Rattus norvegicus: one gene and its partners. The protein of the gene in region 1 interacts with the protein of each later gene in a biochemical or structural test. Links are inferred from orthologs where the notes say so. Each region holds a gene or a part of one and is shown on either strand. Other genes may lie near its edges. The genes, in order: Pparg, Ncoa4, Ncoa6, Nr0b1, Cdc34, Hdac3 and Nr0b2.

Evidence for each region.
Region 2: the proteins of Pparg (region 1) and Ncoa4 form a complex in vitro, tested with the Homo sapiens proteins (2 studies listed by BioGRID, with this or other methods). The link is inferred for Rattus norvegicus from reciprocal best matches to the Homo sapiens genes PPARG and NCOA4.
Region 3: the proteins of Pparg (region 1) and Ncoa6 interact in a test that uses a peptide from one of them, tested with the Homo sapiens proteins (2 studies listed by BioGRID). The link is inferred for Rattus norvegicus from reciprocal best matches to the Homo sapiens genes PPARG and NCOA6.
Region 4: the proteins of Pparg (region 1) and Nr0b1 form a complex in vitro, tested with the Homo sapiens proteins (2 studies listed by BioGRID, with this or other methods). The link is inferred for Rattus norvegicus from reciprocal best matches to the Homo sapiens genes PPARG and NR0B1.
Region 5: the proteins of Pparg (region 1) and Cdc34 form a complex in vitro, tested with the Homo sapiens proteins (2 studies listed by BioGRID). The link is inferred for Rattus norvegicus from reciprocal best matches to the Homo sapiens genes PPARG and CDC34.
Region 6: the proteins of Pparg (region 1) and Hdac3 form a complex in vitro, tested with the Homo sapiens proteins (3 studies listed by BioGRID, with this or other methods). The link is inferred for Rattus norvegicus from reciprocal best matches to the Homo sapiens genes PPARG and HDAC3.
Region 7: the proteins of Pparg (region 1) and Nr0b2 form a complex in vitro, tested with the Homo sapiens proteins (2 studies listed by BioGRID, with this or other methods). The link is inferred for Rattus norvegicus from reciprocal best matches to the Homo sapiens genes PPARG and NR0B2.

The regions. Positions count from the first base shown.
Region 1 is NC_086022.1:150,172,141-150,175,989, forward strand, and holds part of Pparg (peroxisome proliferator-activated receptor gamma), read left to right. Parts: intron 1-1,128; coding exon of another isoform or gene 1,129-1,136; coding exon 1,137-1,356; intron 1,357-2,675; coding exon 2,676-2,845; intron 2,846-3,849. UniProt on the Homo sapiens protein: Nuclear receptor that binds peroxisome proliferators such as hypolipidemic drugs and fatty acids.
Region 2 is NC_086034.1:7,405,330-7,409,178, forward strand, and holds part of Ncoa4 (nuclear receptor coactivator 4), read left to right. Parts: intron 1-1,590; coding exon of another isoform or gene 1,591-1,604; coding exon 1,605-1,745; intron 1,746-3,260; coding exon 3,261-3,401; intron 3,402-3,495; coding exon 3,496-3,584; intron 3,585-3,781; coding exon 3,782-3,849. UniProt on the Homo sapiens protein: Cargo receptor for the autophagic turnover of the iron-binding ferritin complex, playing a central role in iron homeostasis. Acts as an adapter for delivery of ferritin to lysosomes and autophagic degradation of ferritin, a process named ferritinophagy.
Region 3 is NC_086021.1:164,364,061-164,367,909, reverse strand, and holds part of Ncoa6 (nuclear receptor coactivator 6), read left to right. Parts: intron 1-16; coding exon 17-2,992; intron 2,993-3,849. UniProt on the Homo sapiens protein: Nuclear receptor coactivator that directly binds nuclear receptors and stimulates the transcriptional activities in a hormone-dependent fashion. Coactivates expression in an agonist- and AF2-dependent manner.
Region 4 is NC_086039.1:54,706,047-54,710,460, forward strand, and holds the start of Nr0b1 (nuclear receptor subfamily 0 group B member 1), read left to right. Parts: upstream 1-1,611; 5' UTR 1,612-1,618; coding exon 1,619-2,792; intron 2,793-4,414. UniProt on the Homo sapiens protein: Nuclear receptor that lacks a DNA-binding domain and acts as a corepressor that inhibits the transcriptional activity of other nuclear receptors through heterodimeric interactions.
Region 5 is NC_086025.1:10,670,554-10,675,013, reverse strand, and holds the start of Cdc34 (ubiquitin-conjugating enzyme E2 R1), read left to right. Parts: upstream 1-1,406; 5' UTR 1,407-1,424; coding exon 1,425-1,601; intron 1,602-3,801; coding exon 3,802-3,888; intron 3,889-3,988; coding exon 3,989-4,086; intron 4,087-4,214; coding exon 4,215-4,349; intron 4,350-4,460. UniProt on the Homo sapiens protein: E2 ubiquitin-conjugating enzyme that accepts ubiquitin from an E1 ubiquitin-activating protein, and catalyzes its covalent attachment to other proteins by an E3 ubiquitin-protein ligase complex. In vitro catalyzes 'Lys-48'-linked polyubiquitination.
Region 6 is NC_086036.1:30,023,855-30,027,703, forward strand, and holds part of Hdac3 (histone deacetylase 3), read right to left. Parts: intron 3,023-3,849; coding exon 2,933-3,022; intron 2,836-2,932; coding exon 2,777-2,835; intron 2,528-2,776; coding exon 2,448-2,527; intron 2,153-2,447; coding exon 1,995-2,152; intron 1-1,994. UniProt on the Homo sapiens protein: Histone deacetylase that catalyzes the deacetylation of lysine residues on the N-terminal part of the core histones (H2A, H2B, H3 and H4), and some other non-histone substrates.
Region 7 is NC_086023.1:151,061,492-151,066,110, forward strand, and holds the start of Nr0b2 (nuclear receptor subfamily 0 group B member 2), read left to right. Parts: upstream 1-1,668; 5' UTR 1,669-1,702; coding exon 1,703-2,243; intron 2,244-4,448; coding exon 4,449-4,619. UniProt on the Homo sapiens protein: Transcriptional regulator that acts as a negative regulator of receptor-dependent signaling pathways. Specifically inhibits transactivation of the nuclear receptor with which it interacts.

The DNA of each region.
Region 1 (3,849 bases):
TATGAATACACACACAAGAAGATTGCAAATCAGTAACAAAACACCAAAGATCTTAGCCCAAAACAATGCGCAAAAGCTATTCATGGCTATTCATGAAATGAAAACACAGAAATGGTGAAAAGGTGCATATAAAATGTTCAACATCACAAATCCCCAGAGAAAACCAAATCAAAACTACAACAATACACTGTTCCACAACTGTTAGAATGACTAGTACATAAAAAGAAGAAAGGATATAGGGCAATGGAAACATTTTTTAGTTATATACTATATACTGTGCAGCCATTATAGAAAACAAGTAGAGATTTTCAAAAACTCAAATGTAGAATTTCCGTGTAATTAGCAGCCCCACTGCTAGAAATATGGCCAAGAAATAAAATTACTATGTCAAGATTTCTATGTTCCTTTGTTTATTATGACACTATTCTCTATAGCCAAAACATAAAATTAACATAAGAATCTAGGACATATAAACAAGTAAAAGTAAACAAAAGGCTCAGTGGTATATATAGACACACAAATACAAAATGCACATATATATACTAACATGCACATAAACAAACAAGTAAAAATAAACAAAAAACTCTGTAGTATATATACACACATGCAGAATGTACACACATGCACATACATGCACACACACATACACATACATATAATGGAATACTGTATGGCCATTAAAAAGGAGAAAATTCTGCTCCTTGTAGCAATATAGATGACTCAAAGGAACACTACACTAAGGGAAATGAACTAGACGCAGAAAATGCCACACACTCTTGTTAGTTGCCAAGGACTAGGCATAGGGAAAATAGGAAGACTGGCCAGAGTTTCCATTAGGCTCTGGAGACCTGATGGACAGCAAGATGATTAGAGTTAGGAACACTATATCATATATTTGAAATTTGCTAAGGGAGCAAATCATAAGTCCTCTCATCTCAGAAACTCAAATAAAGTCTGACTTCCTTCTTACCTGGATGGTGCTAGAAAGGCAGTCATGCACTCATCCCTCATAGGGAAGTTTGAGTGAAATGCTTTATTAAACTCATTCAGCTCCCTCTCTATATGTCCTTGAGGACTGCTCTCTCCTCCAGAACTTGACTCATATCCTGTTCTTTCTTTCCACTTCAGAAATTACCATGGTTGACACAGAGATGCCATTCTGGCCCACCAACTTCGGAATCAGCTCTGTGGACCTCTCTGTGATGGATGACCACTCCCATTCCTTTGACATCAAACCCTTTACCACGGTTGATTTCTCCAGCATTTCTGCTCCACACTATGAAGACATCCCGTTCACAAGAGCTGACCCAATGGTTGCTGATTACAAATATGACCTGAAGCTCCAAGAATACCAAAGTATGTTCCCTTTTCAAACTACTAGGGCTGGAATTAGACAGTCTCTGAATATCCTTGAATAAATGCTCTTGAGATCAGCACTCTGAAGAGAAGGCGTCTTTACGCAGTTGTTTATCTACTATACTTAACCTTCTAGATGTCTGTGATAGGCCAAAAAGAAGACAGAGCAACAGTGTTCCCAACCCCCCCCCCCCCGTTTCTTTCCTATCTTGTTTCTGTCTTTGGAACATTTTCTAGGGTAATTACATTACATCGACAGTTTTGTCTTAGGCTAAGAGTCCATCATGTAAACTTTGAATTCTCCCAGCCTCTTACTAATAAGTCACAGTTGCAGGTCAACTTACATGACTCATCATCGCTAAGTTACAATTACAATTAGGTTTTCTTTCTAATCTGTAATTTGTAAAATTTACCTCAAACCCTAGTTTGGGGCATAAACTTACATGTTAACATCGTGGCTGATTGACAGATCATCATGTCATTAAGTAAATTGACATCAAACATCAGCCTCAAGAAAAACCAGAACTGAACTTTTCAAGATAAAGGATCATTTCTGTGGTGCTGTTTCCTTGATTTTTATCTTGTGGGCCAATGTGCTGGTTTTCCAGAGTCACCCCTGTGTCACAGGCAAGCATTACTTGATAATAAGTAAGAACTTCCTGTAATTTCTAGTTGTTTTCTTTAGATAGAAAGTATACGTGGTTGTATTTATCTGTGTGGTTCTGGGTTAGAGCCTAATATGGAAATGCAACAGGTCTGAGCTCCGGGCAAACACAGTACTTGCTTCACATGGGTTCTCCTGCTCTCTATCAAAGATCTCTTTACAAACCACCTATTGACTCAACCCTGTTGATAACCTGGCACCTCAGGCTGGGCGCACCATGGCATTTTCTTGCCCATGTTCCTTCTGTATTTCTTTTGCAAGAAAAATTTAAAACTATTTCTAAAATGCACCATTTCAATAAAACCCATAGTAGCAGAATGAATGCCAGATGTGGCCCATTCCCTTGCCAAATATGTTGCACCTCTTCAAACCCTGTGCAATGTCTGTGGGGAGTGGCAGGGGGACACACTTAATTTCCTCCATTTTAATTCCCTTCCTGCTTTATTTGTGCAGGTGAGGCTCTGGGGTGTAGTGACTTGCCTGAGATGATAAAGTCTTACTTTTTCCTATCGATGTTTCTTCATGTCCCCCAGCATCTCTCCTGAGACAGTAAAGTTATGGCATGAAAATCTGAAGGCCACCATGGAAAGCCACGGTGCCTCTTTAAGATTGTTTGTCATGAGATAACCATCTTCTCGAAATTTCCCATGCACAGGTGCGATCAAAGTAGAGCCTGCGTCCCCGCCTTATTATTCTGAAAAAACCCAACTCTACAACAGGCCACATGAAGAGCCTTCAAACTCCCTCATGGCCATCGAGTGCCGAGTCTGTGGGGATAAAGCATCAGGCTTCCACTATGGAGTCCATGCTTGTGAAGGATGCAAGGTAAAAATACATTTTAAAAATCATCCTAGAATTTTCTGCAATTTTGCCTCTCCCATTTCCTATTACAAACTCACTCAAAGAAATTAAGATAAAGTTATGGGCTTTTTTTTTTTTGGCAGAACTCATTCTTCAAGTAATATAATATTTGACAATCTAAGAAAAGCTAATAAAAGCAGGGTTACTCTGCCCCTCTTCCCCTTCTCCAAAATGATTCTTTGAGGCATCTCAATGCATCTTGCAGAGGTTTTTTTGAGAGGATTTACCCAAGGTATCACAGCAAGATAGTGAATGGTAAGCTAGTACTAGGACCTAAATTTTCTGATTTCTCTAGTGTTTTTCATCAGGCTATATAATCTCTTAAACAAGTAAGGCTTGATAGATGGTATATGTATATCACTTGACCCGTAGACAATGCTGCAATATTAAGCATGTTTCTACATTAGAACTGTAGAAATTGTGAATCAAAGGCATGGATCACTTGGGTAGGAGCTTCATTTATCCCCAGAACTGCGAAAGGAAAAACAAAACTATGGGTTAGAGAGGCTGGTCCCTACCAAGCCCTAAGATAGCGCCGTTCCCTTAGTCCAGCAGCAGACTAAGCCTTGAGTAATGGAAGGGCAAAAAGCAATAGCTGAGCTCTTCCTCTGTGAAGAGTATTTTAGAAAGTAAAGAATATGCTACCCCAATTATAAGGAAAATAACTTAATATATTCATGTTTTTATATATGGTTTTTAAATGACTTTAGCATTCTCAGGGATAAAATAGCATCTAACTAATCATGTTCTGGAAGTCATAGAATACATTGTTTATCAGTATTTACCTTATAAATACTGGAAGGTGTGGTGGTGTGTGCCTTTAATATTAGCACTCAGGAGCAGACACAGGAGCATCTCTGTGAGTTCAAAGTCAGCCTGGTCTCCATAGTGAGTTTCAAGCCAGCCCTGTCTCAAACAAAGTAAAACATAAATAAATGAAGTAAATACAACTTCACTTGAGCTTTTTC
Region 2 (3,849 bases), on another chromosome or scaffold:
ACCTAGTCAGAATTCCCTTCCAATAACGTTTCCATCTTTTATTTATTTTTATTCATTTTCTAGCTGTCCTTACCCTTCAATGCAAACAAGTTCTTTTTTTCTATACTATGTTTAACGCTACATAGAAATAGTTTTAGAATTTGTTTCTGTCACAGATCTGTGTTGTGTCTAATGTCTGCCTTTTATGTTTTCAGTCCCAGTAATTAGAGAAAACAGGTTATTCATTAAACAAATAAACAAACAAGCTAACAAACAAACAAAAACACTACACACAGGTCTGGTGACCTCTTTTGGCCTATGACTATCACTGGCCAAATTACTGTGTATCTGAAGACGATGACCTTTAGTTTCTAATCTTGCCCCCTCTGACTTAGGAGGGCAGGGGTTTCAGGCATGCGCCTTCATTGTCCTTACAGGTGGTTGTTGAGAGCTGAACTCCATCCTCTCTCAGAGGATCAAGCACTCAACTACTGAGCAGTCCCTGTGCTCCCATGATGACAACTTAACCTCCCTGCCTCAGAATCCATCTCTGAGCAGCGTTTAACTAAAGCTCTTAAATTACTGCCAGCAGATGGTTTTCAAGGTAGTCAGGGCTCCTCCCATACATCTCAGTCCTAGTCCACAGATACAAGTGCCTTATGACGTCAAGTGCATAGAAATTTTCACTCATTTAAAAACTTTCCTGCAAATACTTGCAAATATCCAAAATCACACACCAAAATTAACCAAACCCAAAATCTGTATTATTTTTGGTAAATAGTTTTGAATAGCAATTCTGAAGCAATGTAGTTTTATCTTGGATTTTATACTTTCACTATCAAATATATTTTTATGTACTTTATCACCAAAACATGCAAAAACTCATGACAGAATTGGAACCAGAACAATTAGCTTTACATCCTTTTTATATCTCAAGTCCATTTTTGTTATCATTATTATTTTGCAGTGGTAGGGATAAAACCCAGGGACTCACAGGTGGTAAGAGAATTACTTCTACATGGAGCCACATCTGTAGTCCAGAAACTTGTTAATGATTGGTGATTTTGTTTTAGTTTTGTTGTTTTTTTCTGAGACAGAGTCTCAAAACCAGTGCTATGTAGTCCTGCTTGCCATGGTCTCCTCCCCTACCTAGTGCTGGGATTGCACCCTGGAAGTATATCAAAGATGGCTTAATGTTCTTCTGACATTTTCACTAGCCTGTGTTCTGCTAATTCAGGACCACTAGTGTATTTTTTCAGATATATTTTCACACGTAGATGGTCCTTAAGTAGTCAGAATCCCCTCTCCTTCCCTCCCTCCCTCCTTTCTTTTGCTTTTTTAAGACAGGGTTTCTGAAACTTTGGCTGTCCTGGAACTCTCTCTTAACCAGGCTGGCCTCAAACTCACTGAGATCCTCCTGCCTCTGCCCCCTCTCCACCTAGCAGAAACAGGTTGGTGAGGAAGGGAGGCAGTATGTATTAAGAGTACATGTGTTGGAAATCAAAGTTGTTAGTGGTGAGAGCTGACTGGAGAAACCTTTTGGGCCATGATTGAATTATGTTTTGGGGATGTCATCATGGTGTTATTTGGTTTTTTTTCTTTCCTTTGAAGGAACAGTGAGCAGAATGAATACATCCCTGGAGCAGAGTGGCTGCTGCAGTAGTAGAGAGACACTTCTGAGGTGCAGTGATGCAAGGAGGGAGCTGGAGCTTGCGATTGGTGGAGTCCTCCGGGCCGAGCAGCAAATGAAAGATAATCTACGAGAGGTGTGCTGTGTGCTTTTCTAGTCCTTGATCGGGCTGTAGCACAAGGCTGGTTAGAGCGCAGGAAAGGACTTCTCAGTGCCACCCAGTGAAGAAATTAAGTTCATAGATACAAGAAACAAAGTTGTAAAAACAAGGGTCTTACAACACCATCAGGTTTGATCCCATATCCTGAATGGTCTTGACTCTTCTACTCCTTTGCCTGGTGTGTTAGAGCTTTCGATCTCACAGGGAAATAATTCCTGTTGGAAGAATCTGAGAGCCTAGTTGTAGAATGCCATTCAGCATGCGATTTCCATTGCTCCTTTGTGTGGTTCTTGTACCCAGTCATACAGAGTAACAGAGTAAGCAGTATTTGCCTCGCTGCATTTTATTCATTTACTTACTTACTGAGCGAGACAGGGTCTCTGTCTAGTTCTGACTGGAACTCTCTGTGTAGACCAGACTAGCTATGAACTCACTGAGATTTACCTGCCTTTGCCTCCCTGGGTGCTGGGATTAAAGGCCTGCGCCACAGTGCCCAGGGTATCTGTACCTTCTTGATACATAAAAAATGCCACTTCATTATGTCCCCACTTAACTTGTAGGTAACATGATTTTAAGTGGTGCAGTCTCTAAATGACTGTCACTCTGCATGTCAGAATGAAATTTGTTAGTTCCAGTAGCATTCTGCTGGTGAGTGCTTCAAGCTCTATATGACTTAGAAAACAGTTTTTTTCTGAAGGGGGAACTTTTATGATATACTTTGGATGCCATATGATTTATAGATGTTTTGAATTTTTCCCTCAAAATATTTGTATAGACAAAAGGTGAATTTCTATATACATTTCTTAGGAACATTAGTTTATAATTAACCTAAACTATCAGTGCTAACGGTCCCCTTGCTTTCTGGCTTACTCTAAAGGACTGTTTATTCCATGCATGTGGAAAAAGGACACAGACTAGCTAGCATATCTCTTTTTTTCTTCTTTCTTTTGTTTGCTTTTTTTTTTTTTTTTCTCCTCTTCTGAGACAGGGTTTCTCTTTCGTAGCCCTGGCTGTCCTAGAACTTGCTCTGTAGACCAGGCTGGACTCGAACTTACAGAGATCAGCCTGCCTGTCTTCCTAATGCCAGGATTAAAGGTGTTCACCACTAAGCTTATCAATGATAAATTTGTTAGGACTGTATTTCTAAGTTATGTGGAAAGCTGAGGGGATTGGTATCCCTGGCATATGTTTTCCTATTGATCACTGATACCCCAGATAACCTTGATCCTCTCAGGAGGAGGAGTGAAGGAGTTTAGAAGTTAGGTATGCCTTTTTGGCTTGGATTCTTTTATTAGGATTCAAAGGATTTCATGGGATCACTGAAATTGTAGGCAAATGTTGAGTATATACTAAAAGAATACTATATCCTTCACAGTGGTCCGTGAGTAATAAAGGATTTCTGACCTCAGAAGTTTAAGAGCGCGAGCATTGTATGGGAATTGTGACTCTTTGGCTTATTACACTCAGTTTATGCTGCCATGCATTTCGTAGGTGAAAGCTCAGATTCACAGCTGCATTAGTCGCCACCTGGAATGCCTTCGAAGCCGAGAGGTGTGGCTCAACGAGCAGGTGGATCTCATCTATCAGCTGAAGGAGGAGACGCTGCAGCAGCAGGCTCAGCAGCTGTACTGGGTAAGGTGCCTGGGGTGCTCCAGATTCAGTGGGCGTCTCTGCCTTGTCCTACTTTTAATATCTTTGTGGCTAGATGTTTGCATTTTCCTTGTAGCTAATGGGCCAATTCAATTGTCTTATTCATCAACTGGAGATTACCCAGAACAAGGATCTTGCCAATCAAGTCGCGCTGTGCTTGGAGAGGTAACGACCTTTCACTTGTTTTGACTTTGGTCTGTCCTAGTAGGCCTAAAAGCAAGTCAGGTTTGTAACTCATCGCACATATTGGATTTTACTCAACTTTGTATTCTCGTGTAAAACCATCCTACATTTATGCTTAATGTTATACTTGCCCTTACTGATAATCCTTGAAAAATACCTAAATTTTATCATTTTGGTAGACTGGGCAGTTTGACCCTTAAGCCTGAGGATTCTACTGTCCTGCTCTTTGAAGCAGATGCATCTGCCC
Region 3 (3,849 bases), on another chromosome or scaffold:
TGGGGGCTTGTTTTAGGTTATCCTACACAACCAGTTGAACAGAGGCCACTGCAGCAGATGCCTCCTCAACTCATGCAGCATGTGGCACCCCCACCACAGCCACCACAGCAGCAGCCACAACCACAACTGCCTCAACAGCAGCCACAGCCGCAGCCACCACCACCTAGTCAGCCACAGTCGCAGCAGCAGCAGCAGCAGATGATGATGATGCTCATGATGCAGCAAGATCCCAAATCCATTAGGCTTCCGGTCTCCCAAAATGTCCATCCTCCACGGGGTCCTCTGAACCCAGACTCCCAAAGAGTGCCCATGCAACAGAGTGGCAATGTGCCTGTCATGGTTAGTTTGCAAGGACCTGCCTCTGTGCCACCGTCACCTGATAAACAAAGGATGCCAATGCCTGTGAATACTCCGCTGGGAAGTAATTCAAGAAAGATGGTATACCAGGAGAGCCCACAGAATTCCAGCTCACCACTAGGAGAGATGCCCTCACTTCCTGAAGCTGGTGGCAGTGAAGTACCATCTGTTTCAGGAGGCCCAAGTAACATGCCCTCGCATTTAGTAGTTTCTCAGAATCAATTAATGATGACAGGACCCAAACCTGGACCATCTCCCCTTTCAGCAACTCAAGGTGCAACTCCCCAGCAGCCTCCTGTAAACTCCTTGCCTAGTTCCCATGGCCACCACTTTCCAAATGTGGCTGCACCAACCCAAACATCTAGGCCTAAAACACCAAACAGAGCCAGCCCCAGACCCTATTATCCTCAGACGCCCAACAACCGCCCTCCTAGCACAGAACCTTCAGAAATCAGTCTCTCTCCAGAAAGACTCAATGCTTCCATAGCAGGACTCTTCCCTCCACAGATTAATATTCCTTTACCTCCCAGGCCAAACTTAAATAGGGGCTTTGATCAACAGGGCTTAAATCCAACAACTCTGAAGGCCATTGGGCAAGCACCTTCAAATCTCACTGTAAGTAATCCTCCTAACTTTGCTGCCCCACAAGCTCATAAATTAGATTCTGTGGTGGTGAGTTCTGGAAAACAGTCTAATCCTGGAACAACAAAACGGGCAAGTCCAAGCAACAGTCGCAGGTCTAGTCCGGGGTCCAGTAGAAAGACTACCCCAAGTCCTGGAAGGCAAAATTCAAAAGCCCCTAAACTTACTCTGGCTTCTCAAACAAGCACAACCCTGTTGCAGAACATGGAGCTGCCTAGAAATGTGTTGGTTGGTCCCACTCCACTTGCCAATCCCCCTTTATCTGGAAGCTTTCCTAACAATAATGGGCTTAATTCCCAGAATCCCACCGTGCCTGCGCCTGCAGTGGGGACTGTTGTTGAGGATAACAAAGAGAGCTTGAATGTTCCTCAGGACAGTGATTGCCAGAATTCCCAGGGGAGGAAGGAACAGGTAAACACTGAGCTGAAAGCAGTCCCTATCCAAGAAGCTAAAATGGTTGTCCCCGAAGATCAGTCCAAAAAGGATGGGCAACCTTTGGATCCTAACAAACTCCCCAGTGTAGAAGAGAACAAAACTTTGATGTCTCCTGCCATGAGAGAAGCACCAACATCACTAAGCCAACTTCTCGACAACTCTGGAGCTCCTAATGTGACCATTAAACCCCCTGGGCTTACAGATCTGGAAGTAACACCTCCAGCAGTTTCAGGAGAGGACCTCAAAAAAGCATCTGTCATTCCCACACTGCAGGATCCGTCTTCTAAAGAACCCTCTAATTCTTTAAACTTACCTCACAGTAACGAGCCGTGTTCAACCCTTGCGCATCCAGAATTGAGTGAGGTCAGCTCAAACATTGCACCAAGCATCCCTCCAGTAATGTCAAGACCTGTCAGCTCTTCCTCCATTTCTACTCCCTTACCCCCAAACCAAATAACTGTATTTGTTACTTCCAACCCCATAACCACTTCATCTAACACATCAGCAGCCCTGCCAACTCACTTGCAGTCTGCATTGATGTCGACAGTCGTCACGATGCCCAACGTGGGTAACAAAGTTATGGTTTCTGAGGGACAGTCAGCTGCTCAATCTAATGCCCGGCCTCAGTTCATTACACCTGTCTTTATCAATTCATCTTCAATAATTCAGGTTATGAAAGGATCACAGCCAAGCACAATCCCTGCAACCCCATTGACAACCAACAGTGGCCTGATGCCTCCCTCTGTCGCAGTTGTTGGACCTTTACACATACCTCAGAACATAAAATTTTCTTCAGCTCCTGTAACACCTAATGTCCCCTCCAGTAGTCCTGCTCCAAATATACAGACAGGTCGGCCATTGGTCCTTAGCTCACGAGCCACTCCTGTTCCGCTGCCTTCCCCTCCTTGTACATCCTCTCCAGTCGTCGCTCCTAATCCTTCTGTCCAGCAAGTAAAAGAATTAAATCCAGATGAGGCTAGTCCTCAGACGAACACCTCAGCAGACCAGAGCACTCTGCCTTCTTCACAACCAACCACAGTAGTTTCTCCCCTTTTGGCCAATAGTCCAGGCTCCTCTGCCAATCGGCGAAGCCCAGTCTCATCCAGTAAGGGCAAAGGAAAAGTGGACAAAATTGGCCAGATTTTGCTGACCAAAGCTTGTAAGAAAGTTACAGGCTCTCTGGAGAAAGGGGAAGAACAGTATGGTGCAGATGGAGAAACTGAAGGCCCAGGGCTAGAGACCACAACTCCTGGGCTAATGGGAACAGAGCAGTGCTCCACAGAGCTGGACAGTAAAACCCCAACACCCTCAGCACCCACTCTCCTAAAAATGACCTCTAGCCCCATGGGCCCAAGCTCCACCTCAACAGGACCCATCTTACCTGGCGGTGCTCTTCCCACCAGTGTACGCTCTGTAGTAACCACATTGGTACCCTCTGAGCTCATCTCCACAGCGCCAACCACAAAAGGCAATCATGGTGGGATAACATCTGAGCCACTTGCAGGTGGCCTAGTGGAGGAGAAGGTGGGATCCCATCCAGAGCTTCTACCCAGCATAGGTATGTACTTGAGCTTGGCATCAGCTCCTCGTGTCAGTGTTTTGCTGACCTGCCCTACAAGAGAGAAAGACAAGCCCTTTTCTACTTAAAGGAAGAAAAATGGCAGTAGTTGTAGACTTACTTACTGAAAGTACATTGAAAAATAGGCTTTTAAATCCCATGTTCAGTTTATATTCATTAACATGGTTCTTTCCTGGCTTCTGAATCAATTCATGTTTCATTTTTATGTGTATATGTTTCTCAGTTTTGAAAAGCTTTTTCATACACACTATCTCACATCATCTGTATACCAACCATGTGATATAGCATTATTCCTTGCTGTGGGTGAAAAGAGTGAAGCTCAGAAATGTCTAATATTTGTTGAGCCTATACTCTTAAGTCTCTGGCCTGGCACAGTCCCTTAAGTGTAAACATCGACCTCTCTATGCCCCTCCCATGATGAAGACTTACATGTTCTTCTTGTCTTGTTCTCATTGTATGCTAACTCAGGGGCCTTTCTGTTTGAATTGCTCCAGAAAAGCTTACCAGAAAACCAGGTTTTGTGATAAGCAAAGGAAAATCTGAAGGGGGAAGAGTCAGATAGGCTTGAGTTGGTAACTACCAGCATTTACCATCTCAGTGGGCTGGGGCAAGTTTCACTTCCTCCTTTGTAATGTAGAGACAGTAATGGTCACAAGATTTCAGTGAGGTAATGCATATGACGTGCTTAGCACAGGACCTAAAACACGGTGATATGGTTTAAGTGCTATTGCCCATTTCCTTTGGACATGGCCTCTTAATGAATTGCATTACTGGATACTAGTCCAAGTTATCTCGGGTGTATAGATCGGTGGTTAATACTGGAAGCACAGGTGTCT
Region 4 (4,414 bases), on another chromosome or scaffold:
ATAACAGAACCAGGATTCAAATGGAATTCATCTGGTGCCACAGTAAGGAATTAAACCTTTGTGCCATAGAGGTCAGCACAGGCAGAATACAAATTAACTGCTGAATACTCTGCCCTACATGAGACATCATTATCAACCCTCCAAGACTTGGGGTGCATCGTATAAGAGATGCAAAGGGAATGTAGGAGAAGAATAATATGAAACTCTGTTTTCTGGACATTATACAACCATTGCAATCTTGAACACATAACAGCTATGGCTACCCAAACAAGACAAATATTAAAATAAATAAATAAATAAATAAATAAATAAATAAATAAATAAATAAATAAACAAACCTATGGAAGTAGGAGGGACACTGTCAGCAAGTATGTATAAAATTTTTAAAACAATAAAACGATAAAAAAAAACTGAGGGTATCCCCAATTTTCTTACACTTCAGTAGTTCCTACAGAATTGGATAGCGGAGGTAGAAGAGGAAGAGGGAGAACGGGACAGAGAGGGGTGTCCCATATCAATTAGTGTGTTCCGGTCCCCTTTCCTGTTCTGTAAGAGCAACGGCTTGTACTCTCAAAGTTATGGGGCTAGTGGGTATAAGAATTGGCTAGTCGTACAAAAGTCACATAGTTGAATAGAAAGAGCCCCCTGGTCTCTTGTTTGAGTGAGACTAAAGGTGGGAAGCTCCGTGACAAATGCTAGCATTTAGGCTTTCTGATTCTTGTATTTGTTGTTAGTATCTTACAATGGTTGGGAACAGGGACAGTTATCACTGACCTGCTTCTACAAGAGTATGAGAAGTTCTCACAGTAACAATCTTGTGATTAGTCTGTTCCTAGGAGTCAGCTACAAGTACATAATGTTTGCAGCCCCCAGCTCTTTGATCCAGCATCTAGGACAAAGCGGGTGATTGCTCGAATTAAACTGAAGATGTATTATTACCTGCTTCTGCCAATGCTTTTCAAATGTAAGGTGCATATGTGTAACCTGGGGGTGAATTATTTTACAACTCACACTCAGATATTTTGGCTAGCGCTCAAAAGAAGGCATTTCTGCCTCCGGGTGTAATTCTGACTCTACGTGTCTGGGGTCTACACTTTTCAACATCTTAAGAAATGAGAACACACTCAGCAAACATTATACAAAACGCAAGTTATAAAAATTGTGATCATTCTATAAAAGTTTATAAAGATGTCACAGAAATGGGCTATTTCTCCCGTTTAAGCACGTCTTTCTCCAGAAAAGGAAATAAGTTAGAGGTCGGAGTCCTCTGTCGGAGTCCAACTGCAAGAGTTGGAACAGAGCCCTAACTCCCTGCCTGAGGTTCGCTGCTCTCCTCTTTCCCAGGTAGGGGAAGGAGTAACCAGAAGAGTAACCAGACAGAAGGGGGGCGGTATGCCAGTTCCTGTGCTGAGACGCTCCCCTTAGATTTCCAGATCCTAGGGAGTGTTTGCCCCTTTGAACTTCCGAGGTCATGGCCACACACATTCAAGCGCAACAGCGCGTCCCCCTCTGCGCCCTTGTCCTAGCGGAGGAGGCGGATGCGCTTGCGTGAGCGTTCAGTATAAATAAGTCCCAAGCGGCGGCCACTGGGCAGAACGGGTTGCAGGAGCCTCAGGCCATGGCGGGTGAGGACCACCCGTGGCAGGGCAGCATCCTCTACAATCTGTTGATGAGCGCGAAGCAGAAGCACGGGTCTAGGGAAGAGCGAGAGGTGCGCTTGGGGGCTCAGTGCTGGGGTTGCGCCTGCGGTACTCAGCCCGTCCTGGGTGGGGAGGGACTGCCCGGCGGGCAAGCCTTGTCCCTTCTGTACCGCTGCTGCTTTTGTGGGGAGAACCACCCGCGCCAGGGTGGCATCCTCTACTCTATGCTCACCAACGCCAGGCAGCCTAGCGGGGCGACCGAGGCGCCCAGGGCGCGATTCAGAGCTCCTTGCTGGGGCTGCGCCTGCAGCAGCGCAGAGCCCCTGGTGGGCAGAGAGGGGCTGCCAGCTGGCCAGGTCCCCTCGCTCCTGTACCGCTGCTGCTTCTGCGGAGAAGAGCACCCGAGGCAGGGCAGCATCTTATACAGCTTGCTCACTAGTGCCCAGCAAACGCACGTGTCTCGGGAAGTACCCGAGGCACATCGCGGAGGCGAGTGGTGGCAGCTGTCCTACTGTACCCAGAGTGTGGGTGGCCCGGAGGGGCTTCAGAGCACACAGGCCATGGCGTTCCTGTACCGTAGCTATGTGTGCGGTGAAGAGCAGCCCCAGCAGAGCAGCGTTGCCTCCGACACGCCCGTGAGAGCAGATCAAACACCAGCAGCTCCGCAAGAGCAGCCGAGGGCCCCCTGGTGGGACGCCTCCTCTGGTGTGCAGCGTCCGATTGCACTCAAGGATCCACAGGTGGTGTGCGAGGCAGCGTCGGCTGGCCTATTGAAGACCCTGCGCTTTGTCAAGTACTTGCCTTGCTTCCAGATCCTGCCCTTAGATCAGCAGCTGGTGCTGGTGCGGAGCTGTTGGGCGCCCCTACTCATGCTTGAGTTGGCCCAAGATCACCTGCACTTCGAGATGATGGAGATTTCCGAGCCCAACCTGATGCACGAAATGCTCACCACCAGGCGGCAGGAGACCGAAGGCCCAGAGCCCGCAGATCCCCAGGCCACAGAGCAGCCACAGACGGTGTCTGCGGAGGCTGGGCACGTGCTCTCAGTCGCTGCGGTCCAGGCCATCAAGAGTTTCTTTTTTAAGTGCTGGAGTCTGAACATTGACACCAAAGAGTACGCCTATCTGAAGGGGACCGTGCTTTTTAACCCAGGTAAGCATGACAAATTTGTACACTGTCTCTTCAGGTCAGAAAAGCACCACCTCTACACGCAAGCATTTATGAGTTTTCAGTGGCTATAGGAATTTTGGAGTCCACGTTACTTGTGACTGACTCTGAAAAGCTGATGCATACATCTGGAATGGCCAGTCAAGTGGTCAAGTGGGTGAGCTTCTGCCAGAAACTTGGCACTGGGGGTGGTGGTGGTGTAGGGGTGTGTGTGTGTGTGTGTGTGTGTGTGTGTGTGTGTGTGTGTGAACAGTAAGCTCTCTACGTTTATTATCTGCTGCTACAGAAGTTTCTGCCTTCATGGGACATGACTGACTCTTCTCTCTTTAGCCGTCCTTTAAATCCAGTGACATAACTTTTAAAAAGCTTTTGCTCATTTCACACAGCTCTTCCTACATCCCCATTTTCCAAATTTGCCAATTAAAGGGCTCCTGATGTGTGCTGCAGGGGATAGGGTATGTTAAGTTTTCCCCAGCTCCTCCCCTTAAGAGTCATTAGTTCAGCCCAGCCCAGATCCTGCAAGTCCGAATCCTCAAGTGGCTCAGGTGATATCTGAGGTCATCTGAGAAACAGTTTCTCTTTCAGCCAATGCTATTAATCCTGCTCTGCTGAGATTCAAAGTCGAGACCAAGGTCTCAGCCTTCAGAAGTCTGTATTTCCAGTAGTTCGCCACTTGCCTTGACCCTGTTTCACATCCTTTGTCACCCTTCACCACTCTTCCCGTCTCTCTCCATCCCTCTCTTATTCTTCCTCTATTCTTTTCCCCAGTACTCTCTCCATAGGAGTTTATCCCACCAGATTGTATGCTTTTAAAGAGTAATGCACCCACATTTGTGTACAATTCAAGGTCTGTAAAGCATGTGGTCTCTTTCCTGATTACCCTTTTGCATTCTCTTGTCTTTATGTTTAAAGCCTTACAGTTGACAAAGACACAGAGCTTTAAAATTATATATAAACATATCAATGGGTTTTAACATAAGGGCATAAGAAAAAGTAAGGAGATATGTAAACTGTGGAGTCCTTTTCTCTTTTGCCCTTACATGGAAGGGACATTTTGTGTGGGTGGAAGGGAACAAGTAGGGGAGAGGGGCAGGGAGATGCTCGGAGGAGTTGGAAATGAGGACCAACCAAAACAGTATGAATGAGAACTCCATAAGGAAAACTCTTAGTTTGTATCTTAGAAAGAATTTTTAATGCAAGAGTTAAAAATAGGTACCTTAAGGAAAGGGCCAGAGGCTGTGGTGTGAAAAGTAATGTGTATCTGGCTTAAGAAAGCTTTCGACAAGAGCCATCTCTATGTAGACCTAGAGAGACTATCAATACACACAATCAAATAGGTATCCAAACTTGACTGCCAGGGTATAGAGTGGAGGATGTTGATGCTGTCTTAATTAGAAATATAATCGAGATAAGAAGCATTGCTTGATTTTGTTGTTTTCTTTATAAGCTATATTTGCTCATAGTAGATTCCTACTTATTTTCTGTCACCGTTATTTTCGCCATGATTATTTTTAAACATGATTTTTAAGTACTCTCCTTGAATTTTGTAAAAGAAGTAAGAAAGATGATGTCATCATTTAAACCAAATCTGTTTCAAAGTTGCTTCT
Region 5 (4,460 bases), on another chromosome or scaffold:
GGAACAGATGATACTGGAAGCCCTTGAAAAAGGAGTATGACCAGAAAGCTTTCTAGCCCAAGGGCCCAGAGTTCCCAGGGGGAGGACAGGCAAGTGGCATTGGATCCTTGGCTCTTCCTGGTCACATCAACCAGCCCCACCTTTGACACTGTTTCCCTATCCCCAAACAGGTCTGCCTGATATCCCCAGCCAGGACAGGATGTTGGCACACCTGTGGGGGGTTACGGGGCGGGGGAGCTGCCTTTTCCCAGCCCCAGTTATTGATGCAGCTGTAGTCCTTCAGGACACCCACAGTCCAGCTGTGTGAACAACACAGCCTAGGGCCAGAACCACCCACCCCTAGAGGTCACGGGTACACCACACACCTGTCTGCAAGGCTTGAATATGCTGCCACCTCAATACTCATGACCAAATGTCCAAGAAAGGAGTGTGGGTGTCTATGCCGGTCAACCTCGGGGACTTTGCGTGTCTGTTCCCGCTCCTGTAACTTTCCAGGATGCCTCACCACTGCTTAAGCAGGACTAGGGTGTGGTCAAAGGACAGCCTGACATGAGAGTCCTCCCAGGGTAGAGGTTAGCACTCCACCCGCTGGAAGCCAGGTCTGCAAACCCCAAATCGTCGATTCTGTGGGCCCTCCTTCTACCTGAGCCCATAGAGACAATATAGGGACATCCATAGCTTCATGATGGGAAACTAGGGCGGATCCTGCTCCGCTCCCGCACAAGCCACGCCCAACTCCCCACCCACAACCACGCCCCCTTGACGTCACAGAAAAGGCCCCCAAAGCCGCAGCTGCCACTCCGCAGCGCGCAGCCCAGCCCTGCCCGCCACTCCGCACACAGGCATCCGCGGAGCTCTTCCGGCCGGAGGCGACGGCGGCCTCCGGGGCTTCGGAAACGCAAGGCGCCTGCGCGGCAGGGCGGGGGAAGAAGACTACACTTCCCGGCGTGCCCCGCGGGCGGGCGCGCAGACACATTCCGGACCCGGTGGAGGCGTCGCACAGGCGCATTCTAGACCCGGCAGTGGCGCGCAGGTGCATTTCCGGCCCGGCAGCAGCGGCGCGCAGCCGCATTCGGGGCCCGGGTGTGGCACGCAGGCGCATTCGGGGTCCGAAGGAGGCACGCAGGCGCATTCGGGGCCGGGAGCCGGTGCGCAGGCGCATTCGAGGCCCGGCGGCTGCGGCGCGCAGGCGCGTTAGGCGCGGGCCGGGCCGGGCCGAAGCGAGCGCCGGGCGGGCAGCGGCGCCAGAGCGAGTGGAGCCTTCGGGGTCCCCGGGTGGTGGCGGCGGCGGCGGCGCAGAGGAGGAAGGCGGCGGCTCTCCCCCTGCCGGCGCGCGACCCGGTCCGTCCCGCGAGCTCGCGCCGGTCCCGCGGCCCGGCCCGGCCCCGGCCCCGGGCCCCTCCGCCGCCGCCGCCGTCACCGCCATGGCCCGGCCGCTGGTGCCCAGCTCGCAGAAGGCGCTGCTGCTGGAGCTGAAGGGGCTGCAGGAGGAGCCGGTGGAGGGCTTCCGGGTGACGCTGGTGGACGAGGGCGACCTGTACAACTGGGAGGTGGCCATCTTCGGACCCCCCAACACCTACTATGAGGGCGGCTACTTCAAGGTGAGCCGAGCCTCAGTTTCCTCTTTGTGCCTGCCTCTCTCCCAGGCTGGCTCAGGCCCCTCGTGCAAAGCGGCCCCTCCCTTTTTTGTTGGGCACGTGCTGACCTCACCCCGGGGACTGGTCTCCCTATACTGTTCTCCAGCAGGCTACATGACCAGAGACAGCTAATGTATGCCGCACCCCCAGGCAGACCCCCACTACAAGACGTAGGGGCCTCTAGAGCCTGCTGCTGGTCAGTGTGTTCCCAGGCTGTCGTGCACTGGACTAAGCATGTACCTGGGGATGTATCTCCCCGTGTTGTCCCCACTCTTCCAACATGCTTCTGGTGAAGGGTCTCCCCAGGGACAGTTGCTGGCCTTCTTGTTCCGGTGTAGTTCTCCCCACCACAAGACGCAGAAGCATCTGGAGCCCTCTGCTGGCAAGCATGTTCCCAGGTTGTCCCTCACCCCACCAGCATGTGGTGAAACCTGAAAAGGTTCACCTTAGTTTGTCCATATCTCAAGACATAAAGGACCACGGGCAGCTGCTGGCTGACATCCCCAGGCCTGTCCCCTACCCTGGAACACAACCAGAGCAGCCACTGGCCGATGTGTCCCCAGGGAAGAGACGTGTAGCCTGGACAGCCACCTGCTCCAGTTCCAGTAGAGGCCCTGGCAGGGCCTTGGCAGCCGTGCCTGTTGGACAACAGCCACCTTTAGCACTGGCCAGGCTTCACGTAATGCATTCAAGGGGGTGGTGGGGGCCCACCCTGAATCTTGGAGCCACACCTTGGGTTCCTGCCAAGGGCCCTGGACCCTAGAGCTCTCTGTTTGCCCCACCCTGACAGCCTTTCTCAGGTTCCACTGAACAGGTGGAGTCTTAGGGGCCTGATTTTTCCTTCTAAGGGGTGTCGTCTGCCCTCTGGTGGCTTCAGGCTCAATGCACCAGATGTTTTTGTGGTTGGGAGCAGGGAGGCTTAGGCAGCCCCCAACACTGAGTATGTTTGGCCAGGTATAGGTACCCATGTCAGCACAGTTGAATCATCCTGCCTGCCATGGACTAGAACTAGCAGAATCACAGGATCTTATGTTAGGGCCAAAGGTGCACGCAAACCCCAGCCAGTCTGGGGCCCCAGATGTAGGGCCGTGGCACTTATTTGTTCTGCGTCTTCCTTTGTGGCTGATGTCCTCACCCTTCTTGGTCAGTGCTTAGGAAAGTCACAAGTCTCCTTATGCAGGGGAATGTTTGAGTTAGGGTTTCCAGGTACAGCATGTGGAGAACGGGAGGGAGACACATGTGGACACCCTCGCTTCCCACCTGGAGGTGGTCTGAACTGAGCCGCCTTCAGGACATGCAGATGCTGTTAGCACCTTGTCTCCTGTGTTTGCGGGGGGGGGGGGGGGGGTGCTCAGAGCAGGGTCACCTGAACTCTTCCTTGCCCGTAAAGGATTGTGGGTAGAGCCTCCTAGGCTCACATTGTTCTTGAGGTAGCTTAGGAGGAGGCCCTGCATGATGTCACTCAAATCCGCCAATGTAGGAGCTTCCTATATGGTGTGAGTGACTGAGACGTGGGGAGTCTCTGTAGGAGGGGAGCTGTGAGGAGCTTCTCTGGACAGCCCAGCCTGTCTCACTTGAGAGAACCCTTCCTGTTCTGAGCCTCAGTCTGCTCATTCTTAGAAGCATCTGGAGCCCCAGAAGTGTGGGGTGTTGTTCCAGCAATGCCACCTTCCCCATCTGCTCTCCTGAGAGGATCGGGGTGGCAACTCCACACTAGGTTTGTGTGCGCCAGGCAGAACACTGGAAGCTGTCCTTGGGGAGCTCCAAGACTAGGGCAAATCTCAGGCCTTCTCTATCTGTCCAAGGTCGGGGCAGTGGGCAGGGTGAGCTTCAGCCACAAGCAGTTGCTGTGACCAGGCAGATGGTTCCAGCTTGTCTGGTGACTACTCTTGGCCTGGGCCCCTGAGCTTGGGTGGTGTTGGTGGGAGGCCTGAGGCCAGGCAGACCTGCTGACTCACTCCTCTAGCTAGCCCACACCTTTCCTAACCGCCTTGCCTTTCCTAACCTGGATGTCAAGTCACAGAGGTGTGCTGTGTGTATACTGGTGTACAAAGACTGGAGTTGGCTTCAGGGCCTGTACACCAGCGGCAGGTGGGCACAGCCCCTGACTCCAGCAGTGCTCGGGGGCCTGCCATTGAGCCACCCCATTTTCTGCCATCTGTAGGCTCGCCTCAAGTTCCCCATCGACTACCCATATTCCCCACCAGCCTTCCGGTTCCTCACCAAGATGTGGCACCCAAACATCTATGAGGTAAGACACTAGAGGCCTGCTTCAGGCACACTCCACCACACACTTCTCTGCCTCCCTTGCACATGCCCCACCCCTCCTCTAACCCTGGTCACTCTTGCAGACAGGGGACGTATGCATCTCCATCCTCCATCCCCCAGTTGATGACCCACAGAGTGGGGAGCTACCCTCAGAGCGGTGGAACCCCACGCAGAATGTCAGGTGAGAATTGCCATGGAACTGCACCGTGGGCACCCGCAAACACCCTGTACCCTAAGATCCACCCTTCCCTGCTCCAGTCAGGGGTTCCCAGAGTCTGGGGAGCTGAGCTTGCACCTACGGCCCTACAGGACCATCCTCCTGAGTGTGATCTCCCTGCTGAATGAGCCCAACACCTTCTCGCCTGCCAACGTGGACGCCTCGGTGATGTACAGAAAATGGAAGGAGAGCAAGGGGAAGGACCGCGAGTACACGGACATCATCCGGTGAGTGCTTCCTACTGTGAAGAGTGATCTGGGGTGTGGGTGGGGTGGGGACTTGTTGTATGTTTCCATTTTTTGCATCCCGGGCTGGATGTGTGGAGGACTCTGGGGCCC
Region 6 (3,849 bases), on another chromosome or scaffold:
CTTAGGGTTATGCAGAAAGTAGAGCCAAAGTAACTATAGATGAAAAAGCCAAACCCAGACAAAAGGAGAACTTAAAAACAGATGTCGCCGAACCAACCTAGACAATGGTGATCAGCTTCTAGAACTCAGGCTTTAGAGAGCTGTAGACAGATGCTAAGGAATGGATGACTAGACAGAGCCTGAACCAGATGTTTAGATACTTCCTCACCCAAGCCAGGGAATGGGGAGGCATCCAGGGAAGAGGAGGACTAGAAAGTCCCAAGGGTCAAGACCAAGTCCAGAGGACAGAAATGGAGGCCAAAATTCTGTGACCCAGAACAGACTCAGGAGGAACTGAGATGTCACCACAGCTGCAGCACAGCCAGCTTCAAGCCCATGACAGAAGCACAGCAACTCAGATGGTCTCAGTCCTGCAAATGCATCTGGTCCCTACTAACCCCATCTCTTCCATCGTTCTGGGTTCGGTTGTCTGTTGTCCTTTCTCATCATTTTCTAGAAATTTCTTTGAGGATTAACAAACAACAAAAAGATCTATACTAATCTTGCCTTATTTCATTCTAACTATAAATATTTCAACATAGATCTATGAAGATAAAGATTATTTATACATATACATGCACACACACACCTCACTCAATACAACTCATAAATCTAGAAAAATGAACTAAACAAATGTAGAAACCCTATAAAAGAGAATGTGGGCAGTGGTCTACTGTTCACTGCTCAGAATGGAGTAAAATGCTGGCAAACGTAAATAGGGAGCGAGAGAGACAGCTCAGCAGTTAGGAACACTTGTGGCCATAGAAAAGGACCCAGGTTCTTTCCAGCACCCACAGAGCAGCTTACAACCATCCTCCAGTTCCAGGAGATCTGACACCCTCTTCTGACCTTAGCAGGCACCAGGTACACAATGGTGTACTTAAATACATGCAAGTTAAACACCATACACATAAAATAAATCAATCTAAAAGTAAATAAAAGATTTTTCTTAAAAAGATGTAAATAAACCACTAAATTCTTTCTGGAAGGTAATTTGGCAACATTAGAAAAGTTTTACTGCATATGCCATTTTCCCTACAGCAACAGTTATGAATATATATACATATACATGTATATGTATATATATACACACACGCGTGCGTGCACACACACACACACATATATATGTGAATATATATATTTTATATATATATATATGTATATATATATATTCAGTGCCGCAGTCCTTATTGTTTTAATAGCCACAAAAAGGGGGGGGTGGGGGAGTGGGATGGAGAGTAACGTAAATATCCACAAGTGGTAACTGACTGCCCTTGTGATCATGTGGTCACCACACAATGGAATTATACAACTGAGAAACAATGATCTCTATACCGACATGGCACACACCCTTTCAAAGAAAAAAACAGGCAAACACAACTCAGAGCAACATATAGAAAATATCCTTACTCATAGTAACAAGAACTTTATAAACAAACTGGGTAGCATTTAGAAACCCGAGGCAGGAGGATTATTATGAGCTCAAGGCCAGCTTGGGCTATGATAGTGAAACCCAATCTCAAAAATACCAAGAAAGAGCAAGGCATGGTGGTGCATGTCTTTAATCCCGGCACTCATGAGGCAGAGGCAGGAGGATATCTGATTTATAGGCCAGCTTGGTCCACACAGAGGAAACCCTATCTCAAAACCCAAAAACAACAGCAACAAATCAAGAAAAATAAGTAACTGTAGAAATAAAATTCTGAATGTGCACACGTGCATATAGTGTTCTTATAATCTATAGAAATTACCTATCCAAAACCACATGAATCAAACCATAAATAACAGTTACTGCCATGGAGTAGTCCTGAAACTATGTAAATACAACACATTTTGATGTATCTAAAAGGGTCAAAAGAGAAAAAAGCTTGCAGCCTAAAGGAAATCAGCCAGGGCCAGGCGAACTCATGCCTTTTCTGCAAGCCTGAGGAACCACCCGCTCTCTGGCCCCAGACCTGCTGTAGTTCTCCTCAGGACCTCTCTCTTCAGCATCGGCCTCGTCAGTCCTGTCATAGGTCAGGAGATCTGCTGGAACATCATGAATCTGGACACTGGGTGCATGGTTCAGCATCTTCAAGTTTTCAAAGATGGTCTGGCGGATCTGGTCTAGATACTAGTTTAGAAGAAAAGAGTCAACAGTGCCAGGGTGATTGCCATAGTACATGAAATTCTATCCGCCTTCTACCATGACCATCCTGGTTTAAAGTAGTATTTCAAGGTCAGATCCTCAGTTAGTGACTGTCCCTTCCCAGCAACCCAACTGTTTGTCCTTTATCCAGGGCTACCACATGATAAGAGTGACAGTGACAGCCCAGAACTTCCTTCCCTTGCTCTCTCCATTTCCCACCTCCGAGACCTCTCCTGAGCCCGCCCAGCATTGCTGTGTCCAGCTTCCCCAAGATGCTAACCTGGCGTGAGTTCTGATTCTCGATGCGGGTGCTGACATCTGGATGGAGCGTGAAATCTGGGGCAAAGTACTCGAAGTATTCTTAGAGATGAGAAGCAATTGGGAGAGGGATGAACGAGAGTATGGCTGAGATACAAAAGACTGAATCCCATGGCTTTCCGATCACCTCTCTGAGTCCTGGTCCCCATGTGTAAGAGTATTTGCTCTGCTCTGAGCACAGGGGTTTAGTCTGCAGAGCTCCCAGAATGTGCAATTTCCCTTCAAACAAGGTCATTCTGAGGACTGGTGAGAATGGGCCCCCTGTGGGGGGCATCATGAAGTGGACCTTACCACTATAGGGAAGTTCCTCACTAATGGCCTCTTCTACCAGCAGAGATGTTTCATATGTCCTGAAACCAGCAAGCAGAGGGGTAGGGCTGAAAGGACCACCCCTCCAATTTCAGGGAGTTTATCATGAACTACAGAGGAGCAGAGTAGAATACTCACCAGCACCGGGCAACATTTCGAACGGTGTAACCACCACCTCCCAGCACCAGGAGAGGGATATTGAAACTCTTGACATATTCAACACATTCCCTGTTAGAAGCAACAAGAGGACTAGGTGAATCCAAGACACGTGACCACCGATATGCCTTGAAATACTGGAGGAAGACTTGACCAACAATATTTCTCTGTCCTGTTGTGTAGTATAACTCAAAGTTGCATTCTTTGGGTGTGACTACTTGTACAAATGTGTGAGTCTTCATATGTGTGCCAGTGCACGTGTGTCTGAGGATGTGTGCATGTGTATTCACATGCTAGAAGACATCTTCAAGTGTTGGCCTAAAGGCACTATCCATTTTTTTTTTTTTAACCTGGAACTTTCCAAGTAGGCTAAGCTGGCTGGCTACCAAACCCTATGAATCTTCTGGTCTCTACTTCACCAGGGCTGGGATTATGGATCATAAATGGGTACCGCCAGGCCTAGTGTTTTCACATGAGCTCTGGGATCAAACTTGAGTCTTCATGGTTGTATAGCAAGCGCTTTTACTGAGGGTGCTATTCACCCTGTCCCCATCTGATATCCTCCTGCCTCTGAGCTGTGCGCTCAGGATTAGAACTCCTTGGGTAGTATTGCTCAACATGTGGGCCAAAACCATGGGAAAGCACAGAGTCCCAGTGGTCTTAGGAGACACCACTCAATAGCAAGATGACAGTTATAAAATGGCAAGCAACAAAAATAAAGTTATAGCTGGAGGGTCCTATGTGTTTTCCCCTGGTTCAGACCCACAGGTTGAGAACCACTGCGTTAGGGCTAAAGCGCCATCTCAACATTAGTGTTTACTGCTTTCCTAGAGGCCAGAGTTTCAGTTCCCAGCACCTACACCGGGAAGCTCACTCCGATAGGTAAATTCCAATACCCT
Region 7 (4,619 bases), on another chromosome or scaffold:
TCGCTCCCTGACTGTCCTTTCGTTTCCAACAGGACCTGAGCTGAGGATATCCACCACTACAGTGAAAGCAGTGTGCCCGCTTGTCTTTGGGGATGAAGAGAGTCAGGTGCCAGTCTCATAGTCTACACAGGACTTTGCTCTGTCCTTAAATCAGTACCACAGGAAGGAAGACCTTATGGTCTCACCTAAGATACCAAGGCTCAGCTGGGGGTTGGGGGGAGGCATGGGCCTTTAACCTAAGTACTAGGGAGGCAGAGGCAGGTGGATTTCTGTAAATTTGAGACCAACCTGATCTACAGAGCAATTTCTTAGGACAGCCAGAGCTACACAGAGAAACCCTGTCTAGAAAAAACATAAAATGGGGGGGGGGGCTCCCTGAACACTGGAGACAAGCTGATAGTCACACTGTGAGTGGGACTCGTGGAGCCTAAACCAGATGCCAGGGCAGAGGATGCCAGATCTCTCTTTATCCACAGCACCAGGTTGCCTAAGAATGTGGCAACAGGGAGCCTGCTAGGCAAGGCTAGCCAAGGTCAGGAACCCGACACAACTGAGGCCCTCCCATGTCCCTTGTCCCTCACCTCTGACCGCTTGAGACAAATGTCCAAGACAGAGGAGTCATGTGCTAGCAGAGATGTGTTTCTACCCATACCACAGGTAGGCCATACCTGCAGACCAAGTATGTGGTGGGGGGTGCCTCTTAGCCACCAGTTCTGGGAAATTCACACTTCGGCTGCACAATTGATCCAGGGGAACAAACAAAGATGACTTTGAGGTCAGATGCACCTGTGCTCTGTCCCCGTCGGAGTGACTTTGAGTAGGTCACTTCACCTCCAGAGTGTCACAGAGTAAGAATGAAGTCTTCAGTGTTACAGTGGACCGAGACCCACACCAAGTGTGTGGGGGTGGGGGGGTTGGGGGGGTCCTTACTAAATGTTAGCCATGTAGGCCCTCGGTTTTGCAAGGGCAGATCCAGCCTCTGTGAAGCTATGGGAATGCAGGGTGGGAGCAGGGGCTCTGAAAGGTCTTCTTCCCAAAGGGGTTCATGTCCTGGAGTCCCAGGAGGGCAGCCTCCTAGACTGTACAGTGAACAAAGTCCCCCAGGGACCTGGCTCCCTTCCCTACAGCCTGTTCCTTACCGACAACAGGAGCAGAGCCCCAAGGTTAGGCAAACAAAGCAGCGATAAGCCACTTCCAGGCTGGGTATTGTATTCAAGGCTTTAGCCAGCTCCCTGGCTGGCTCCTTGGCTCTGTGAGAACCCTGGTCTTGTGTACATGAAAACGGCCACCAATAGAAACAACAGTCACGGCCAGCCCCTGGCTGGTTGAACGCCTGAGACCTTGGTGCCCTGGTACAGCCTGGGTTAATAACCCTGTTTATACACTTGAGTCATCCGATAAAGGGCATCCAGGCAGTGGGCAGGTGGCCCTGTGCCCTGCAATGGCCACTTCATTGACTAAAGCGATAGCAAGGCCACGTGGAGCTTCCAGTGCCCCTCCCCCACCACTTCTCCACCAGTCCTGCCAGGGTCAGCGTGTATGCATTGTGTGTGTGTGTATGGTTTTTTTTTTTTTTTTCAATGAACATGACTTCTGGAGTCAAGGTTGTTTGGCCAGTCCCCCTCCCGCCCATCAAGGATATAAATAGCACTCCGTAGAGAGGGCCACAGAGCCAGGAAGAAACAGGAACAAGACACAGACCATGAGCTCCAGCCAATCAGGGGTCTGCCCATGCCAGGGCTCTGCAAGCCACCCCACCATTCTCTACACACTTCTAAGCCCCGGTCCCAGGACCAGGCCCATGGCACCCGCATCTCGCAGCCACTGCCTGTGCCAGCAACACCGGCCTGTGCGCCTGTGTGCTCCACACCGCACCTGCAGGGAGGCCTTGGATGTCCTAGGCAAGACTGTAGCCTTCCTCAGGAACCTGCCGTCCTTCTGCCTCCTGCCCCATGAGGATCAGCGACGGCTGCTAGAGGGCTGCTGGGGCCCTCTCTTCCTGCTTGGGTTGGCCCAGGATACTGTGACCTTTGAGGTGGCCGAGGCTCCGGTCCCCAGCATACTTAAAAAGATCTTGCTAGAGGAACCCAACAGTGGTGCCCAGGGTGCCCAGCCACCAGACCCACCACAACCCTCACTGGCTGCCGTGCAGTGGCTGCAGCACTGCCTGGAGTCTTTCTGGAGCCTTGAGCTGGGTCCCAAGGAGTACGCATACCTGAAAGGCACTATCCTCTTCAACCCAGGTGAGCTTCCAGACACTCCTGGATGGTGGCCAAGGTGGGAGGGGACAGGGCTCATCCAGGGAAAGTGCTTTCTTGGGACTTGGCATCCATTGTACCTTTGGGTCCTTTTTAGCCTCAAAAATAGATACCTCGGGTTGGGGATTTAGCTCAGTGGTAGAGCGCTTGCCTATCAGGCGCAAGGCCCTGGGTTCGGTCCCCAGCTCCGAAAAATAGAAAAGAAAAAAAAAAAAAATAGATACCTCATAGGAGAGGCACAGAGAGGTTAAGCCACTACCTGAAGGTCACACAGCTGGGACTGCAGACCAAGCTAATGCAGAGACTACTTTTTGCCATGGTTCCTGAAATTTGGCCTGCATCTTAGGGAGTGTGGGAGGGTAGATGGGGTGGGGACATGGCTGCTTGGCAGATATATCTTCAAAGCCAGGCTGCATAGTGAGGTTCTGAAGGTCCACCGTGGGTTCAGGGAGGCCACTCAGAGAAGAAGAGAGAGAGAGTATGGGAGTGGGGTGAAGTCAAGCCAGGAGAAGAGTGATGGGGTGACAGGGAGAACTGGGACACAGTCTCACCATGTCACTCTGGCTGGTCTAGAACTCACTGCGTAGACCAAGATGGCCTAGCTTGGGAGAATAATCCTCGTGGCTTTGAGGAAGACAAGAGACGGACCTTGAAATTAAAGTACGATGTCACGTCATAGGAGTAGGCGTCCCAACTAGTCCCATGACATCTACCATATGTTAGGACTCAGTCTAAGGGCTTTACAAATATTGGTTTGCTTAAACCTCATAACAGGTGTGGGTGACCAGAACTGTCATTATCCCCACTTGACAGATGAAGAAGTTGAAGCACAAAGATTAAAGTACTCATTTAAGGAAGGTCACTCAGAAAGATTAAATTACTTACTCAAGGTCACTCAGCCAGTAAGTGGCTGCACTGAGATTCAAACCCTGGTTTTTTGGTGGGTTTGTTTTTGTTTTTGTTTTCTGTTTGTTAGGTTTTTGGGTTTTTTTTGTTTTTGTTTTGGGGTGGTTTGGTTTTTGGTTTTAAGATTTATTTAGGGACTGGAGAGATGGCTCAGCAGTTAAGAGCACTGACTGCTCTTCCAGAGCTCCTGAGTTCAAATCCCAGCAACCACATGGTGGCTCACAACCATCTGTAATGGGATCTGATGCCCTCTTCTTGTGTCTGAGAAAAGCTACAGTGTAATCGTATACATAAAATAAATAAATCTTAAAAAAAAGATTTATTTAGCCAGGTGGTGGTAGCATTTAATTCCAGCATTGGAAGGCACTGGGATCTCTGAGTTCAAGCCCAGTCAGAGAACTAGTTCCAGGACAGCCAGGGCTACACAGAGATGCCCTGTCTTTAAAAAAAATCAAATGAAAAGTAAAAATAAAAAGATTTATTTATACATTACTTTATGAGCTCCTACATGCGTGTGCATATGTACACATCACCTGTCAAGGAGATGTCACAAAGATGTCAGAAGAGGGCGTCAGATCCTCTGAAACTAGAGTTCTAGGGACTTGTAAAGCACAACATGGATGCTAGGAACTGAACTCAGGACCTCTGGAAGAGCAGTCAGTGCTGTTAACCACTGAGCCATCTCTCCAGCCCGTGTGTCTTCGTCATTACATCCACATTATCTGCTTGCTCTCCATAGTGGATGGATGGATAAGTGGTAAATAGTGAAGGAGACAGTGGGTGGGGCCTCCGAGGTGGCAGAGGGGACCAAGGCATGGACTCATCAGTGAAGAGATTGCCTCACAGACCTGGATTTTATTCCCAGCGCCCGCCACAAAACCGTCCTCTAACTTCCTGGCTTTACGAGCTGAGGATGTACTTCCCTAGTATGTTTTTTATATACATTGTCACTGTCTTCAGACACACCAGAAGAGGGCATCAGATCTCATTACAGATGGTCGTGAGCCACCATGTGGTTGCTGGGATTTGAACTCAGGACCTTTGGAAGAACAGTCGGTGCTCTTAACCACTGAGCTATCTCTCCAGCCCACTTCCCTAGTATGTTAAAGGGGCTATCAACATGCAGCCCAATGGTGGAATGTCTGCCTAGTGCACACTAGCATTCGCAAGGCCCTGAGTTGCACCCCAGCATACGAGGGAAGGGAACTGCTAACATTCTCCCACCCTGGGCAAACCTCCACAGACTTAGATGCTCACCGGCCCTCTTTACCCTCTCTGCCACAGATGTGCCAGGCCTCCATGCCTCCTGCCACATTGCACACCTGCAACAGGAGGCTCACTGGGCATTGTGTGAAGTCCTGGAGCCCTGGTACCCAGCTAGCCAAGGCCGCCTGGCCCGAATCCTCCTCATGGCTTCCACCCTCAAGAACATCTCCTGTACCCTTCTGGTAGATC